3 linked regions of the Solanum lycopersicum genome follow. The protein of the gene in region 1 interacts with the protein of each later gene in a pairwise test. Links are inferred from orthologs where the notes say so. Each region holds a gene or a part of one and is shown in the gene's direction. Other genes may lie near its edges.

Region 1 (3,199 bases):
TGCTGTATTAAGTATTTATTTTGATTTATCATCTGTTACCCCTTGGTTCTCATATCCACACCTAATATTCGAAATCGTTGAATTAAACGTTAGGATTTGGCCAAATTTATGAAAAAGTCTTCAGCAAAGATATTGTGCTAATTAATATAATCTGAAATGTTTTTTTCTTGGACAAGGTAAGCATGTTATATATTCAAAAGCCGAATAACTTAGCACTAAGGTAGTGCACATAACTGGAAACTTCTGTACAAAAACAAGTTGAATCAGGGGCTCTCTAACACTGAGGATCTAATTAGTGTAGGCATGAGACAATTTTGGTCTAAGTTTTTTGTTATGTGAATTTTTTTCTATTAATTTATGCCTTTTAAGCTTCCTTTGGTTCCATTGGAGTTGCTTATTCCAATGGGAGGAGAAAAAGTTTACCACCAACAAATTCTAGGGCTTAAGACTGAAAATTACCATTTTTTTAAAAAAAAGTTACTTTTGAAGTGTCAAATTGAGGCAGAAATGTCATTCAAGGAGACTAAGTTTAAAATTAGGTAAAAGGCTTTAATCAAGGCATAACAGAAGTTTAAAGCCTTCTGCATACAACTTTACTTGTAGTACAGGTAAGACACATCGTTGACACACATCATCGACATTGTTGTGTCTTATGGTTGGATCTTCTATAGGTAGTTGTGATAGACATAATTGAACCACTTGATTGAAGTTCTTCTTTTCATCTCATTTTTCATTCATTTACTGGCACTTTATGTAGGTTTTTGAGAATTTGGTCCTTTGGAAGTACCTGGGCCTGTAATTAAAGTAATTTTATTGGGAGATAGATAGGGGGGTAGTGTAGAACAATTTGATTGAGGATGCCCTGTTGACATTCCTCATTAGATATCAAATGTGGTTAGATCTTTTTTGTTCCAGATACAGATGATCCCTAGACATGTATTTTTGAAGTTAGAACTGTTCGAGCAACTTGGCTTAGTATATTTTCAAGGAGTCACCCTACAGAATCGTAGTCTAGTTATCAATCCACATGTTTTTTTTTTCTTTCATGCAAACTAGATGAATGGGGTAGAATGAAATAGCATTTAATAAATCTGCTGACTCCGGTTACTTCTGTATTCTTACTAGTTTGGTAGGTATAAGGGTATTATTTTTGAAGTAAACGTGATAGGCTTCATAGTTGAGTTACACCGACCGACTTGCTTTATTGTACTTATTAATATGTTTCCGCTTAGATGCTAAACACGTGAAAGAGTTTTAAACTGCAAAAAGGGATGATGAGTAGAATTTCTTAGAGTGAGGTTTGACTGTTGCAGGTAAGAGCTGAAAATTCTACAGGTCATATATCTTCAGATCTGGAAGCCAAGCAAGTTCTGTCTACATCTTCAAAGAATGCGAGATCATCCTCTCCTTATAGAGTGGGGCCTCCGAGGTCATTGTCACCCACCCTCAACGAGTTTGCCTTGGATAATCCTGCCATAGGACTCAGAGAAAGGGCCTCACCGTCTCATACTGCACTTGACTATGGGTTTAGCAGAGTAAGAGGTAGAGATGTTGAGAGGAGTGAGTGGCAGAGAATTTTGCCTGATGGGGCCAATCAGCAACCAGACGTTCCTCCTAAATATCGCATAAACAAGGGAATTGATCTTCAAGGACCTAGAGCTTTGATTGATGCTTATGGAATTGATGAAAGGGAAAAAGTAGCCCATCTGAGGCAGCAAAAGACTGGGAATGCCACTATTAATGGCTTAGGCAATGGGTTAGCAGTTAAGACATGGCAAAATACCGAAGAGGAAGAGTTTAACTGGGAAGATATGAGTCCAACTTTAGCAGATCAGAGCCCGTTTAATGATTTGTCAGCATCTCTTCGCCATCCTCAGAGTATCAGGATGAGACCTTGTGTTGATTCACAACATGCTGGGCCATTGGTGGCTGATCCTAGAAGGAACTGGGCTAATCGAGGGCAATATTCTTTAGTTCATGATTCTTCCGTGGATGATGTTCACTCGGTTAGTATTGATGTACTATCGCATGCAATTATTTTCCTTTAGTATTTTGCTGACTAATGTTATGCAACTTAGTTTTTTGCTTATTAATGGTATTCAAACTTTTTTATGTCTCTGATATCTCTAACTTGTTTGGAGCAATAACAATTAGCCTTAGCAGCATATGTTGTAATCTTATCTTCAGCTGATTGTTCAGATTGGAATTCTATATCTGCTTCCCATTGGCTAAAACAAACGTAATTGGAGCCAGTGACTTTATTTGGTTGTATTTGTTATTATCTGAGTTATTTGACGGATGTGGACCAAACTCGTACTTTTATTTGGCGATCAAGATAGCATCATAATGCACCATGAGTTAATTCATTTGCTCTTTGTCTTGTATAAGGAGGCATCTTTTTTTTTTATTTTATCACTTGAGAGATATTTTTTTTCATATTGAAATTATGTCAGTTCTTTTGGCAGTCTGGTCGAGGGGCGAGAAATAAAATTACTGGATATTGCGATGAGACATCTCTGATTTCAGGTTCACATTATCTTCAAAAGCTTCCAGAAAATGTGCCACAGTTGCCTCTAAGACATTTAAAGGGTGAAGGAAGTGGAATCTCATCAGTGACCGGTGAATCAAAGCACCCTTTGATTGGCAATTTGGCTGCTGATGGACATACTTGGAGGCCACCATATGTTCCGCCAAGAATGAATCCTACTTTTGACTCTTCAGTTCAGGATGTTCGGGTGGTTACTGGACGGGGCCCTGGTGTACCATGGCCTCCCCAAAATGTGCATACTCCCCATTCTTTGACTTCAAAACCTGTTGTTCTGCCTCATAATCACGTCAGAAGTCCTTATGAAGTAAATAATGCAAGCAATTCAGTTGTCAATCATACTTTGGACAGGCCAGTTCTTCCTGAGCAACATATTGATAATTTGAAGAGCAGCTCACATATCAAGTTTCCACAATTTCCTAGTCAACACCCCACATCATTTTCTACAAGTCATCAAAATTCTGAACAAATGGCTTCAGCAGAACCTCAGCTATTGCTTTCTCAGCGTATTCATCAGACTATGCCTCCAAGTGCCTCACTTCCAGCCTCAAACCATTTGCTACCACCAACTTATAGATACCCTCTACCGGGTCCTGGTTCTTCTATAGGTCCTCACTTCCCCCGTCCAGTTTCAGGTCCACAAGTGTCTATGCC
Region 2 (4,441 bases), on another chromosome or scaffold:
AAATTCATGATCCATTATGCTTGTTCTACAGTGTTGCTCACTTGTTATTATTTTTTCTTTATGTCATTCAACTTCCTATTGAATTCGCGAAGAGAAAGCAGTTGAAGAGGTGCTTTAACTTCCCTTTTTCACATTAGTATTTATGTAATTCATTCACTTCTGTAATTGTATATAGATAGATAGAAACTTTGAATAAATCTTTGATGTGCAAAATGTAAGGATGTTTTGATATTTGATGGTGTGCATTGTTACATTTCTTGAGTAGCACTTCCTTTGCACAAGACTCCTTCCTTTCATTACCTATAATGAATTATTGGCTACGACGGTAAACACTCCTCACTTTCAACCATCAGGTTGTGACTTCGAGTCATTAGAGGAGCAAAAAAGTGGGCCTTTTTAGAGAGGAGGTAAAAAAATATGTAAACAAAAAACGTTTAGCCTATATTAGGTACTATAGTTACATCTTAAGAAAGTTGTAATTCGTGGTTATAGTTTTCTCAATTCTTGCTATTCGTTTGATTTATATATAACTAGTCTTGTTTGTATATATCCAGAATGTCGTATATGCTTGCTCTAACTATTTGTAAACGATATATGAAAAATTCATAATAAATTACTCTATTTGTGTATTGACAACCAAAATATTACAAACAGAATTGTGAAAAAAAACCATAAATGTATAACTATAGAATTTGTATATATTTACCCTATTTGTATTTTCACAAGCGAATTACACAAATGGATACAACAAACCGCAGTCTCCATAGCAAACAAAACTATAGACATTACAACTATAGAGCTTTATTATATCTATTCTGTTTGTTATTTCTAAAATTTTCTCTAAAATTGTATTAACAAATTATACCATATTGGAATCTTGATTTTGTGAAACTATTTTTAGCTAATTTTTATTTTGTAGTTTAGCTAAAACTATTTTTTTTCATTTAAGTGTCTAATTTTTAATAGTTTTGAATAAAGAAAATAACTCTTTCAATTATTTTTTTAATTGTTTTTAGATCTCCTATATATAAAAACAAAAATATTTGATGACAAGAGCATAAGATAAGCAAACTTGTGAAAGACTACCAATTAACCCACTAAAAACTATGAAAAAATTGCCAAATGTAACTTGATTATGCCTCATAATTACACCTTTTAAATAATTACAAAATATAACTATATTTTACATTTTATAGTTGATACACGTGTCCTTATAGTCGTCTTTAATAGAGAGTATTTTACCTTCTAATGTAAAACTTTTTTATGCGAATTCAAATTTAATTGAATTTCAATATGGATATCATCGAGTGGAAAACTAAAAAAATATATGCATATATAGACACTATCAATTTATATACAATATTTCAATTTATATGTCGCATAATGTATACATTTTTAAAAGAAAAATATAATAATATTTTGAAGTAACACAATGTCACTATTATTTTTTCCTCAAATAAATAACATTAATCTTGCTATTTATGAACTTTTTTAAATATTTACTATCAAATATAAATAAACTTGATAATTTTGATACATAAATAATTCCTTCTCGTAAGACCGCCATGATGGGAGTTATTTATAATTTCTTCGTAAAAATTTATATTTTCATATCGTAACATTTTATAAATTATAATTTTTTTTAAATATTTTAATAATTTTTCAATTCAATTTATTGATCAATTCGATTTTTCGAGCCGTCCATATACCCAAGAAGAGACCTGTTGGATTCCGGCCCGCCAATTTAAACAACCCACTGAACTCAACTCAACTGGAACTGAAACGACACAGTATTTTCGTCTTCTCCGGCGAACTTGCTCTTCTCCGGCGAAGTCTCCTCATAGGTATACCTCTATCCTTATACTCCAATTTCTCCTCTAAACAGAAAAACCCTAATTTTTTTTTTGTTATTCCTTGCCCTAATGATAGATTTTGGGTTTTAAAAAAACTGCATATTTGGATTGTATTGCAATGTTTTTGTAATTTTTTTATTTGATTGTGTTTGAATGTGTATAAAGTTTGTAACTTGGATACCCAAGGGTGTGGTCTAGTGTCAATTGGAAGTAGGTTGAGAATTGTGAGGTTTTGGGTTCAAATCCTAGTAGAGACGAGAAATTGTAGGTTTCAAGTTTTGGTGAGCAAAGTTATCGTGTACATGTGCTGGTGGTGTATGAAGTGTGTAACTTGGGCACCCCAAGGTTGTGGCAAGTGCTAATGAAGTAGGTTGATAATCATGAGGTGTTAGGTTTACATCCCCATTTAGACAGGAATTATTTCTTTCTATCTGTTCAAATTTTGATGGATAAAGTTATCGCGTACATCTGTTGGTGGTGTATGAAGTGTGTAACTTGGGCGCACCCAAGGTTCAATGTTGTCGCTAGTGTTAATAAAGTAGGTTGAGAATCATGAGGTGTCAGGTCCCCGTACGAACAAGAATTATTTATTTCTATATGTTCAAATTTGGTGGACACTTACATGTGTTGGTGGGAGGTAGTAGGTACCCTGGCCCGTCGGACACAACGGTTGTATAAAAAAGGGGAAGTGTGTAACTTGGTGTTCATTTGGTCATTAGACTGATTATGCAATGAGTTGTTTCAATATTTTTATAAGCAAGTTCTTGCACAAGTCTTTCAAATTTCATTGTTTTTCTTGTGGTTATTTAGAAAAGTTACTTATAGTTATCCTTTATGTACTTTTATCCCCTCTAATCCAATATTTTGTCTAACTGGGATTACGAAGAAGAGAAAAAGTCTCCTGCAACTTGAAGCAATAGTTCCAAATTCGTACATCTTTCATTTGGAGCGATCAGAACAATAATTTCAATGGTTAAGCAATGCATGCCCAATTGATTCGAAAATCAAGAACTGATACACCATTTTAAAATAACTAATAAAAATATGTATATAAGAGTTCATTAGAGCATGCTGCTGTCTGTTTTTCATGGGTACTGAAATGAGGTCACCCAGTTTAACCACAACATTGTCCATGGACAGTCACTAGTAAAGGAGAACCATACTGAAGGAAAAGAAAGGCGTGGAATTGTTTTCCATTCTTATTATTAGTAGAAAGCATGATCTTTCTTTAACTCTTCTCTTTTAACTAACTGTACCCATAGGCTTGGTGAAAATTTCCAGAATTGGAGCCAACAAGAGAAGCATCTCTGATATGGCTTATGGAGGCACAAATGTCAATCCATTGGCAGCAACAGGTGGTTCAACAACAGTGAGGCAGGTGAAGTTGGAAAAAGAATGTGAGCTCCGAGTTGAAGCCAGCGCTGACTCGCCTCTCCGTCTTCGGCTCCTAACTGGCACGGCTGAGATTTTTGGGACTGAAATCCCTCCTGGAATCTGGCTCAACTTTCCTCCAAGACTTAAATTTGCAGTATGATTCTATATCCATCATCTATCAATGAAATGAATGTGTGCCCTGGAATGATTGCTTTACTGTGAAAATCTTTGCTGGATGAATCTAGTAAATGCCTCAAGTTTCATTAATATATCTTTTGCACGTGAGTATCAATTTAGGTTATGTTTGATAAACAGAACTGCTTACTGACATACAAGGATATGAAAAATTCTTTCTAGATTTACATGGATTATAAAGAGCCTAGCTAGATGGAGTAGTTTCCAGTTTCCACTAGGTGGGAGCTATTCATAATTGCATGGATAACCCCCCCCCCCCCTCTCTCCAAATGCTTTGCTCTAGGTAAGATCGCAACCATCGTGTATGTCACGGGTTTAAACCTGCCTAACACAAGAGCACGGTATATATTTTATTGGATAAGGTAAAGGTTTACTAAATAACTGAGTACCAAAGGTAGAGAGGTGGGCCCATTTCCACAGAGTTTGGAACTGTGCACCATTGGCTCCTTGGAGATTTCTCGGGTATAAAGAGAACTACTATAAAAGGACAGGAGAAGGTACAGAAGGCGTCCTTACTAAGAATATTGGACATGTTCTTCAATACCAGTCAGTTGATTGAAATAGAGATGCTGGACTAGAATAAGCAGTGGGCTTGTGGGGGAGCTTCTTTTGATGTTTAGAACAGAAGAAGGGTTTTGCAGATTGTCCTCTGGAAATTTTAACTTGTCATGAGAATCATTCTGCAATCACATTTGGGTTGAACTCCCGAGTTTATTGAGTAATTCAAGTTGTATTAATGTTAGGCTACACTAAGTTGGTACTGAAATTGTTACTCGGAAACTAGCAAAAAATTACTTAAGGAACTAACAAAGTCAATCGAAGAAGCATTCTTTTCAAATCTGATTTAAATGCCAAAAAGTGCTGCAGCAAACAAATTAGCTTTTGTCTTCTGTATAGGGTTTGCCTTGCCTTCATACACTTTTTGTTTCTTTATCTCCACAAGGTTCAGCAAATATCGGCAGGAATGGGTATACCAAATATTTTTTGAGTCCCTTCTTAGACTTCTCCCTTCCAACTCA
Region 3 (4,230 bases), on another chromosome or scaffold:
TCTTAGTGTAATGAGGGCACTAATGCATCTTGCTAACAATATACGATCAAATATCTGTTTTGCAGTAAATTTACTGGCAAGATTTAATTCTTCCCCAACAAAAGGACATGAAATGTTGTTAAGAACATAATCTTTGAAAGACCATAGACATGAGTTTATTCTATATCGAGGAGTCAAAGTCAGAGTTGATTGGTTATGCAGATGCAAAATATTGATCCGCATGAAAGTCGATCTCAAAGAGGTTATTTGTTTACATGTAGAAGCATAATAATATCTTGGCGATCAATGAAACAAATGTTGATAATCACTTCTTCAAATCATGCACAAATAAAAGTCCTCCATTAAGCCAGTCGACAGTGCGTATGATTTAGATCAATGACACACCATGTTCAAAAAATATGTGTTTTCTTTGAAAAATAATATACCAACCAGAATGTACGAAGATTAACAACTGCAAATGAAAGTTTCCACAAGATGATTGTTGCTATAGCAAGTTAAGTGAGCAATTTACTTGCAGTAACGAGGTCACAAATAAAGTGATTTTCAAGAATATATTCGGCTAAGCTCAAAAGCTCATCATATCCATGAAATCAGAAAATGACATATCAGAAATGAGTTCAATCATGCACATCTTCGTGAATGTGATTTAATCACAAAGACATTTTCAATATCTGCGAAGTTGGTATATATGATTGGATGACATATTCATAAGAATTAAGTATTCTTCGCTCAGGGGAGAGTATAATACGTGTTGCATTTTTTTTTATCGAGGTTTTGTACTTTTGTTTCTTCACTGAGATTTTTTCCACAAAATTTTTCCTAGTTAGGTTCTAACGAAGCACATAATCTATGGACATCCAAGGGGAGTGTTATAAATCCATTGTATTGTGTGGATTATTTATTCAAAAATTAAATGTATTCATGTACGAGTTTTCTCAAGGTGATAAGAACCTTAAGTGATAACTATGTATCTACTACTTTTGGTGACTATAAATAGAGATATTACTCACCATTTGCAAATACATTTGAAAAAGAAAAAAAGTTATGTCTTCTAACTACATTTCTTGCCATCTTCTCTTTATATTATATTATTATGAACTTACATTTATAACAATTTTTATTTTAAATCTTATAATATTTGAGTTTCACTTACATATTTCGTGAAATAATATATCATTTTCAAATATAAAGCAAGAGTATAAATTTGACCCAACACTTTGATAATTGAGTAGTTTAGCACATTAAAATTGGAAATTCACAGTTTTGACTTTTGAGGAATTAAAGTGTACAAATCAATTTATTGAAAATATATGGATAAAAATATAATATATTGATATTAGAAGGACTAAACGTACTAATACTAAACTTTTGCTAAAAATTCGATTTCCTCTTCTTCACATTAATACTTAGTGGGTTTTTTCTCTCGTCTCCTCTCCTCTCCTCCCTTTTGCTCCGCCGCCGTATCTCCTCCACCGCCGTAAGCGTTGCCGCTATATTTCTTCCGCCGCCGTAATCTCCGTCGCTGTATTTCACTCAGGTAAAGTTTGTGCTTCGTTTTGATAAAATCAACCTAAACTTGGTACCTTATATTTTGATAAATTGGAATTTTTTATGCAGTGGGTGTGAAGAAAAAGCTTCATTTGATAAGTTTGTGTTTTTTGTGAAACAGGAATATAGTAATTAATGGCGCATAGGTTGCTTAGAGATGCAGAAGCTGATGGATGGGAGCGATCTGATTTTCCGATTATATGTGAGTCTTGTCTCGGGGATAGTCCCTATGTGCGAATGGTAATATTTTGAACTTCTCTTCTTTGAGTTTTCTATTATTTTGTGAATAATTTCATGATTTTGTATTCATTTTTTGTTTTCATTTGTGAATAGAATTAGGGTTTGTTTGTTATGTTTATGGTGTTTTGAACTAGAATTGAGGGCTTAGTGTGTTTATAGAATTTAGGAACTGATATTGTGCTTGATGTCCTTCTAATTGGTTGAGCTTTTTCCATTCAAATTATTTAATTTTGGTTTAAAAAGGTTACACCCTTTTCTTATTTGAATCTTCCCTCTTATGCATAGGAATGTGTTGACGGTATTTATACCAACAAATTAAATGAAACAGCATGCTAGCAGAGAGAATGCAAGCATGAAATTGGACATAATTTGAGATCTTTTGGTCTTTGCTATGTTCTCATTAACTGCTTCAGCAAGGTGGTAAAACGATTAAAGAGAAAAAGCCTCACTTTGGTTAATACATTCTAGTGTTTGAAAAAAAGTTGATGAAGTTGTTCTTATTACCACAGAGAAATTATACTTCAACAGTAGGTGGATAGTGGTATGCCTCCATGTAAATGCTAGACTTGTCCACAAGTCAGATTCTAACTTGTTACGTGCACCCACCATACATCATAAGTACTAACTTGAGGAAGTCATTTGTCTTAAGTTTAAGTGAATATAGTCGGAGGTGGATCCAGGATTTAAACCAAATGGGTTCAATCTTATGCCTCATATCCGAACCATAGCACTTCAACAATTATGGGTGTAAAACTTAGTATTTGCTGAGCTGTTGAAAAATTGAATTTGTTGAGTCGATGTTGCACATTGGCATGTCAGCCTCTGTATATAGCACTCTTACATTGATAACATCCACAAGCTTGTTTCTGTATAGTGGGTTGGCATCTCAGGATATAGGGAAGTAGATAAATTATATGTTTTTCAGCAATCAGGATTTGCATTAATTGGTAAAAACTAAGATAAACAGGGTAACTTTGTTCAGTTAGGAACTAAAAGGTGTAGTTTTGTTTTTCCAAGGAATCAAACTTCAAAGGTTAGAGCGCTATTCTTTTATATCTGATACGCCTCACAGCCCAGCTTCTTGCTGAAGTAATTATAACGTGTGATTGATCTGGCCGCTCATATTTAATGAAGATAACAAGACAAGTATTTTATTTGAGTCATAGGGAAAGAATAAGTTGTCTTTTCTCAATAAAGGAAAAGGCTATTAGCCTATTAGGTTTATTACTCTCTTCTAGTCCTTGTTTGCTGATAATTGGTTAGGTTATACACTTGCTTGCATCACATTCTTATCAAAATAGATTCTATATTCATTTTTGCATGTTGTTAACTGCTGACAACTTCTCTTAATACATAGCTGTATCCTACTTGATTGTTTCTACTCGCCATTCCTATCGTCAAAATGTCAGTTTTCTTCGTATAAGGCATATAGATTGATCTGAGTTTTATGACGTGGTCAAGTTACATTTACTTTTTCATTTGTCAAGTATTGAACCTTTTGATATTGTCATTGTTCCTTTCAGACGAAAGCAGATTATGATAAGGAGTGCAAGATATGCACACGACCCTTCACAGTGTTCCGATGGAGACCTGGTCGGGATGCAAGATACAAAAAATCTGAGATCTGTCAGACCTGCAGCAAGTTGAAGAATGTTTGTCAAGTTTGTCTTTTGGATCTCGAGTATGGTTTGCCAGTTCAGGTCCGAGACACTGCTCTCAGTATCAATTCTAATGATGCAATTCCCAAGAGTGACGTTAATAGAGAATATTTTGCAGAGGAGCATGACCGCAGGGTATGTGAAGTTTCAACTTGAAGTTTATTAATACTTTATTATAACATGTCTTTGTGCTCCACCTGCATATGCACAGTTACATGCATATAAAGGTCATCCCCCACCCCACACAAATTTAGAATAATACTTATCTATTACTGAGGGTATGTGCTTGTTACCTTGAATATTTTTTACTTGCAACTTTCAGAGTGCAAATGTGAATTAGCTTATTTGAAAAGTTGCTAAATCTTTGAGCCGAAACTTTCTTTTAGCCAAAATTGATTGGGCTGTGTTGTTATTGGGTTCCCTCCTTCCTCATCTCAGAGGGAGGAGTACATAAGGAATGAGAATGACATATATATGTAGAACCTTTGATAGAAAGTGAACCTAAAAGATTCGCTTCAGACAAAACTGTGCTGTGATAATCACTTTGTTTTTCTATTTTCTCCTGTTGACCTATGCTTTCTTTCTGAACAGGCAAGAGCAGGGATTGATTATGAATCTTCATATGGAAAAGTCCGTGCGAATGACACTATTTTGAAGCTCCAAAGAACTACTCCATACTACAAGAGAAATCGGGCACATGTTTGCAGTTTCTATATACGTGGTCAATGCACTAGAGGTTTGGAGTGCCCTTATAGGCACGAAATGCCGGAGACTGGGGAGTTGT

The links.
Region 2: the proteins of polyadenylation and cleavage factor homolog 4 (region 1) and protein CLP1 homolog interact in a two-hybrid assay, tested with the Arabidopsis thaliana proteins (3 studies listed by BioGRID). The link is inferred for Solanum lycopersicum from reciprocal best matches to the Arabidopsis thaliana genes PCFS4 and CLPS3.
Region 3: the proteins of polyadenylation and cleavage factor homolog 4 (region 1) and zinc finger CCCH domain-containing protein 49-like interact in binary tests that used the Arabidopsis thaliana proteins (3 or more experiments, as listed by UniProt). The link is inferred for Solanum lycopersicum from reciprocal best matches to the Arabidopsis thaliana genes PCFS4 and MAC5A.

Annotation. Positions count from the first base shown.
Region 1 is NC_090811.1:66,838,787-66,841,985, forward strand, and holds part of polyadenylation and cleavage factor homolog 4, read left to right. Parts: intron 1-1,313; coding exon 1,314-2,006; intron 2,007-2,453; coding exon 2,454-3,199.
Region 2 is NC_090800.1:3,701,172-3,705,612, reverse strand, and holds the start of protein CLP1 homolog, read left to right. Parts: upstream 1-1,539; 5' UTR 1,540-1,844; intron 1,845-3,115; 5' UTR 3,116-3,165; coding exon 3,166-3,381; intron 3,382-4,441. Other genes in the region: serine/threonine-protein kinase Nek5-like, read left to right, coding at 1-10. UniProt on the Arabidopsis thaliana protein: Required for endonucleolytic cleavage during polyadenylation-dependent pre-mRNA 3'-end formation. Functions in gametophyte, embryo and postembryotic development.
Region 3 is NC_090803.1:8,435,538-8,439,767, forward strand, and holds the start of zinc finger CCCH domain-containing protein 49-like, read left to right. Parts: upstream 1-1,342; 5' UTR 1,343-1,537; intron 1,538-1,669; 5' UTR 1,670-1,683; coding exon 1,684-1,788; intron 1,789-3,311; coding exon 3,312-3,581; intron 3,582-4,037; coding exon 4,038-4,230.